Saccharomyces cerevisiae S288C: one gene and its partner. The gene in region 2 interacts genetically with the main gene of each other region. Each region holds a gene or a part of one and is shown on either strand. Other genes may lie near its edges. The genes, in order: TPT1 and GPI16.

What was found.
Region 1: mutations in GPI16 (region 2) and TPT1 together harm fitness more than expected from each alone (negative genetic interaction), as found in Saccharomyces cerevisiae (2 studies listed by BioGRID).

Annotation. Positions count from the first base shown.
Region 1 is NC_001147.6:125,164-128,435, forward strand, and holds TPT1 (tRNA 2'-phosphotransferase), read right to left. Parts: upstream 1,527-3,272; coding exon 834-1,526; downstream 1-833. Other genes in the region: myo-inositol transporter ITR2, read left to right, coding at 1-667; IZH4 (Izh4p), read right to left, coding at 1,819-2,757. UniProt on the Saccharomyces cerevisiae protein: Catalyzes the last step of tRNA splicing, the transfer of the splice junction 2'-phosphate from ligated tRNA to NAD to produce ADP-ribose 1''-2'' cyclic phosphate.
Region 2 is NC_001140.6:482,219-486,151, forward strand, and holds the start of GPI16 (GPI-anchor transamidase subunit GPI16), read right to left. Parts: upstream 1,620-3,933; coding exon 1-1,619. Other genes in the region: PTH1 (aminoacyl-tRNA hydrolase), read left to right, coding at 1,810-2,382; ERG9 (bifunctional farnesyl-diphosphate farnesyltransferase/squalene synthase), read left to right, coding at 2,627-3,933. UniProt on the Saccharomyces cerevisiae protein: Component of the GPI transamidase complex. Involved in transfer of GPI to proteins.

The DNA of each region.
Region 1 (3,272 bases), on a different chromosome or scaffold from region 2:
AACTGTTGGATTCAAAAATTCTTCTGCCGTTTCTATTATTGTCTCAGGTACTAATTTTGTGTTCACATTAATAGCATTTTTCTGTATTGATAAAATCGGCCGTAGGTACATTTTACTGATTGGACTACCTGGTATGACTGTGGCGCTGGTTATATGTGCTATAGCGTTCCATTTCCTAGGTATTAAGTTTAACGGTGCTGATGCAGTAGTGGCATCTGATGGATTTTCATCTTGGGGCATTGTCATTATCGTATTTATTATTGTGTATGCAGCCTTTTATGCCCTCGGTATCGGCACTGTTCCATGGCAACAATCGGAATTATTTCCACAAAACGTCAGAGGTGTAGGGACATCCTACGCTACTGCCACCAATTGGGCAGGTTCTTTAGTCATTGCGTCTACGTTCTTGACTATGTTACAAAATATTACACCAACGGGTACATTTTCATTCTTTGCCGGTGTAGCATGTTTATCAACCATTTTTTGTTACTTTTGTTATCCAGAACTATCAGGATTGGAGTTAGAGGAAGTTCAAACAATTTTAAAGGACGGATTCAATATCAAAGCCTCTAAAGCTCTAGCTAAAAAGAGGAAACAACAGGTGGCCGAAGGTGCTGCCCATCATAAACTCAAATTCGAACCTACACAGGAAATTGTAGAAAGTTAGACTGCTACACCAACAAAAAATAAAAGATAAAGAACAAAAAAGAAGGAAGAAAGCTATAAAAGGGAGACAATTCATTTCATCTAATCTTAAAAGTTTTTATTTAAATATATAAGTAAGAGCGAAGTATTTAAAAATAAAAATTCATAAAAGTTGAGCTTGATGAAAGTTATATCTTTTCGAGCGGTATGTTTCTTTCGTGTAAAATTCTTCTTAAAGTATCTAACTTCTCCTCATCTTTCAAGTTTCCTTTAACTACAACTTTTTGGATCAATTCAACGGGAATACTGCTGCTTAAGTAAACATTATTGAGCGACCTGAACATTTTCAAAGTTTGAAAGAATAATGGAGAATGGCAGTCGATGAAAATATAGACGTTACTTGAAGAACGCATTCCACTAATAACTCCCTTCGCGTGCAACATCCCCGGCGATAAATGGACATGATTTCTACTCATTGGTGATATTGCTCCGGATTCAATAATCTTTATGACAGATTGAAGATTTGTTCCATGAATTAGTTCCTGTGGTAACTGCGACGCTTCAGTAATTGGTACGAGAACCTCATCTGATGGCTGAATCGATTTGATTGAATGTCCCTGAGTAGCACAGATCCATTCTTCGTCCGCTCCTAACGTTTTTATATGAAAGCGTTGTTTGTCATTTTCCTTAACAATGCGATGGATATCATCCACCGTACATTTATGAGTTTTCAATCTATTATGAGACAATAGTTCTTTCAGCGGTGTATAACCGTTTGAGTCAATAGTCAACTTTTCTTTCACCGCTGTATGTCGAAGCAGATATGATAAAGCTTTGGAAAGCTGTACATCCCTTTTATCTTTTTGTAGTACCTGGCGCATTGTCAAGTCCACCTTTCCCAGTCATTCTGCTCAATTCTGTAATAATGTATTATGCATTTTGCCATTATTTTGATGAGCTTTCCTCGCGTCACGGTGTCAGTAAAAAAGAACAAATACATCACGAAGACAGAAATACGGACAAGAACCGCAGAAGACATTAAAGTCAAAACATGAAGCTTAATTCAACTCGTGTAAGTATCTTTAAAGGAGATACACTTCCCATTCTTGAATTATTTTTTTATTTAATTTGCCTTATTTATTCAATTATTTATTATGTGAGCACCAGCTGAGTCTAAGACTTGAAATTAATTAATTCGGGCTGATTCAAACTTGAATGCATCAAAATATAAGATTGAATCAAAATGAAAAAATGGTAAAAAGCCGTACCAGAAATCAAGAGATGGAAAAGGTACTCGGAATGATTCCAACCTTCTTCCTTTTTATTTCGTCTGAACAATGATTCAGGGAACCTGGTAACGTAAATTATAGATGCCGCTACCAAAGCCACAAGTTCCCACGTAATTGCGTTCACTTTTATCCTCTCTTTCAGGTTTTCTAAACCATCAAAGGTGATTATTGCGGTTAATAGTGGCAAGGAACAACACACTACTGATACCGAAATGAAGAAAACTGTTTTATTGAATCTTTTCGAGGAAATGAGTTTGTCCGTCAATATAAAAAAGTATGCCACTAATCCTATGAAGTTCATTAAAAGGGTAAAAATTTTGAAGAAAAACACGTAATCATAGAATAGATAATAAAGAATTGTGATTTGTGATGATATCAATAAGTTGATATTCGATAAATACGAAAACTTCTGCCAATGTTCGAGATGTTGTTGTAGAGAAATATTTTTGACGAAGTGATAAATGAAATGCACCATACAAAATACAAAAACGTTCAATAAATAAAAATTGAATACAATGTAGTCTGTCATTGTAGTGGTGGTGGGGAACAAAGGTATCAAATAAAAGTCCGTGAAAAATATTAGGAGACAAAATGACAGCATCGAACCCAAGAGATATATTAGTGCTACTAGTGACTCGTTCCTACTGGATTTATTTTTGTACTGTTTCTGCAATTTTGCCAAGTCATGGAATGGAAAACCCTTCTTTGTTTCTTTTGTCTCTGCATTCTCGTTCGAATCTGTCCCCCTAGTATCATTGCTCTCTTTCTCAGTGGTTGTCTCGCATTTGACTGGGCTTTGCTCTATTGTAGTCAATGAAACCATACTGTCAATATATATGTACCTTTATACCAATATTATATGCGCTGACAAGAACTTTAAGAAATTAATTTCCTTTTCTACTTTTTTTCATTTTTATTTTACTTCTGCGTCCATATATCCGGACCATATATATGAGTGTAAATCATTTAGCTGTTGACACCATTGAGTATTTACAATTAAAACCAATTGAGCTCAACAGGCTTGCGTTGAATAATGTTGAGCTGCCCAACGAGCCCTTTTCTCGCGGAGTGCTGTCCGAATTGTCCGAGTTTTTATACGGACAGAACTATCGCTTCTTTGAAGTATATATAAGAATAGACCGGCTGTTCACCCCGTATCCTCCTTTTCTATCTCTTGGCTTGCTATGTTTCAATGTCAGCCTTTGCTTTTATGTGCCCTTGCATACACGTGAATATGTCTATTTTATGTAAACTATAACAGCTGGTACTGCCCGTACATATGCTTAAATTAAATAGCTATTGACGAAGGCCCATTTTCTCGTAGAATATCAGGGTAAC
Region 2 (3,933 bases):
GATAACAATAGGGTAGAGGTTCTCATTTCATAAAGAGACGATGAGGACTCCAAAGATAGCACGGTGATTACAGCTGCATCGATTTCAAAACCATGGTTTGCATCTGGTGGATACTCGGCAAATTGCAGAAGAGCTTTATCGAATTGATAAGTCATTACAATGTCCGTATTAGCTGGAATTAACATCGTGAACTCCAAGTGGCCAGGTCTTTTTCTATCGGCCGCTTGTAAATAGTATTTATCTAAGATGATATCGTTTTCTTGCAATTGCGGAGAGGTAGTAGAAGTAATTTGAAGAGAGGATAGGTAAACTCTCATGAACCATGGCAATGATTCGAAATAAATCAACTTCACAGGGGTATCATTGTCGTTATGGAAAACAATACGCATTCCACCACGATCTTGTCCATTACCAGTCAGAGATCTGCTTACGTGAATTGGGACAGGAACTATGGGAGTAACTTTAGTAGTGTCCGTCGATTCTAAAATAAAGTCGTAGCCCGAACCACCCTCATTTTGATCGTTTGATAAGTCAAAGCAATTATCATGTGTGCTGAAAATAGTATCGTCAACTGACAAAAACGCAGTCCAGGTAGAACGGTCAACTTCTGCACAAATTCTTGTGGGCCTATTAGCAAACAGGTTGCCATTGTTTATTGGTCTGGCAAACAGCTGAGACAGCTTGAAGTGAGTCTGCGAAGGTTCCGGTAGAGGGAAGCATTGGTAAGAATCAAAGGGTTTATCCGTGTCACAACGCAATGTGTTCCCATCCAAAGGTTTGGGGATAGGTCTCTCACCTCTTGCCAAGGCGGAGGGAACGTGTGTTACCATTTCTATGCGTGCGTCCATCTCGTAGTGACAAAGAGCATCTTCATCTTCAGAACAAATAGTGGCAATATCCAAGGAAATACTATTCCATAGAGAGTCGAACAATTTATGACCATCCAAGAGAGATGTCAAACCGGATTTGCCCCTAGTAGGCAATAGTTTTATGAACGGCGTCAAGTTCTCGGTACAGATGGGTTCATTGGGCAACGATGCTCGCATCAGGTACAGTTTCTCGGTGCTATTGAAAAGAGGAGCTCCTATATCAGAAGCATATGACCGCCGGGGAAAGGTCGTCCTTGACTCGTCGATAAAATTTAAAGAAGAACAAAACAATCCGCTCAATGAATTGGACAGTTTTTTCCAATTATGGAACGCCTGTTCCTGATCCATGGCCTGCACTTGCGACCACAATTCCACACCTGAGGCACCTGCCTCTTTTCCAGCATGTGGCAACTGTCCCCACGACAGGGCATCCCAGAATCCTCTGGTAAATCTTAAATGAAACTGACGCGTGGCAGTAGATTCCAACAATGGTGGGATGGCCCGTGGGAAAGTCGTGTAGTGCTCATACGCATCATATGACATGGATGATACGGCCGGGTCAAACGGTTCCGATTGCAGTTGGAATGCAAATGAGAGTAGCAGATCATTGTTGGGCAGCGGCTTCAACACCAGTGCTTCGTCGTACGGATACCATAAACTGTCATTTATACCAATCTGCGACACCGTGTCTTCTGCGAACACACCCAGTAGTAGAGTGCCCAGCATGAAATAGGCCAGTGTGAGGATCATCGTCGTCTTGCCTATGCTTTGTTTGCTTTGAACACTTGTTTCCGCTCTCCTTTTACTTATTGGCTACTAAAACTACGTGTAAAAGATCGCCCAGCGCAAAAAGGTCCGGCGGTTTCAAATAATCTCGAACTATTCCTATAATATGCAAAATAGTAGGTAGGAACAAGTCGACTCTAGGCAGATAAGGAAGATGTCCGGTAAATGGAGACTAGTGCTGACCGGGATAGGCAATCCAGAGCCTCAGTACGCTGGTACCCGTCACAATGTAGGGCTATATATGCTGGAGCTGCTACGAAAGCGGCTTGGTCTGCAGGGGAGAACTTATTCCCCTGTGCCTAATACGGGCGGCAAAGTGCATTATATAGAAGACGAACATTGTACGATACTAAGATCGGATGGCCAGTACATGAATCTAAGTGGAGAACAGGTGTGCAAGGTCTGGGCCCGGTACGCCAAGTACCAAGCCCGACACGTAGTTATTCATGACGAGTTAAGTGTGGCGTGTGGAAAAGTGCAGCTCAGAGCCCCCAGCACCAGTATTAGAGGTCATAATGGGCTGCGAAGCCTGCTAAAATGCAGTGGAGGCCGTGTACCCTTTGCCAAATTGGCTATTGGAATCGGCAGAGAACCTGGGTCCCGTTCTAGAGACCCTGCGAGCGTGTCCCGGTGGGTTCTGGGAGCTCTAACTCCGCAGGAACTACAAACCTTGCTTACACAGAGTGAACCTGCTGCCTGGCGTGCTCTGACTCAGTACATTTCATAGCCCATCTTCAACAACAATACCGACTTACCATCCTATTTGCTTTGCCCTTTTTCTTTTCCACTGCACTTTGCATCGGAAGGCGTTATCGGTTTTGGGTTTAGTGCCTAAACGAGCAGCGAGAACACGACCACGGGCTATATAAATGGAAAGTTAGGACAGGGGCAAAGAATAAGAGCACAGAAGAAGAGAAAAGACGAAGAGCAGAAGCGGAAAACGTATACACGTCACATATCACACACACACAATGGGAAAGCTATTACAATTGGCATTGCATCCGGTCGAGATGAAGGCAGCTTTGAAGCTGAAGTTTTGCAGAACACCGCTATTCTCCATCTATGATCAGTCCACGTCTCCATATCTCTTGCACTGTTTCGAACTGTTGAACTTGACCTCCAGATCGTTTGCTGCTGTGATCAGAGAGCTGCATCCAGAATTGAGAAACTGTGTTACTCTCTTTTATTTGATTTTAAGGGCTTTGGATACCATCGAAGACGATATGTCCATCGAACACGATTTGAAAATTGACTTGTTGCGTCACTTCCACGAGAAATTGTTGTTAACTAAATGGAGTTTCGACGGAAATGCCCCCGATGTGAAGGACAGAGCCGTTTTGACAGATTTCGAATCGATTCTTATTGAATTCCACAAATTGAAACCAGAATATCAAGAAGTCATCAAGGAGATCACCGAGAAAATGGGTAATGGTATGGCCGACTACATCTTAGATGAAAATTACAACTTGAATGGGTTGCAAACCGTCCACGACTACGACGTGTACTGTCACTACGTAGCTGGTTTGGTCGGTGATGGTTTGACCCGTTTGATTGTCATTGCCAAGTTTGCCAACGAATCTTTGTATTCTAATGAGCAATTGTATGAAAGCATGGGTCTTTTCCTACAAAAAACCAACATCATCAGAGATTACAATGAAGATTTGGTCGATGGTAGATCCTTCTGGCCCAAGGAAATCTGGTCACAATACGCTCCTCAGTTGAAGGACTTCATGAAACCTGAAAACGAACAACTGGGGTTGGACTGTATAAACCACCTCGTCTTAAACGCATTGAGTCATGTTATCGATGTGTTGACTTATTTGGCCGGTATCCACGAGCAATCCACTTTCCAATTTTGTGCCATTCCCCAAGTTATGGCCATTGCAACCTTGGCTTTGGTATTCAACAACCGTGAAGTGCTACATGGCAATGTAAAGATTCGTAAGGGTACTACCTGCTATTTAATTTTGAAATCAAGGACTTTGCGTGGCTGTGTCGAGATTTTTGACTATTACTTACGTGATATCAAATCTAAATTGGCTGTGCAAGATCCAAATTTCTTAAAATTGAACATTCAAATCTCCAAGATCGAACAGTTTATGGAAGAAATGTACCAGGATAAATTACCTCCTAACGTGAAGCCAAATGAAACTCCAATTTTCTTGAAAGTTAAAGAAAGATCCAGATACGATGATGAATTGGTTCCAACCCAACAAGAAGAAGAGTACAAGTTCAATATGGTTTTATCTATCATCTTGTCCGTTCTTCTTGGGTTTTA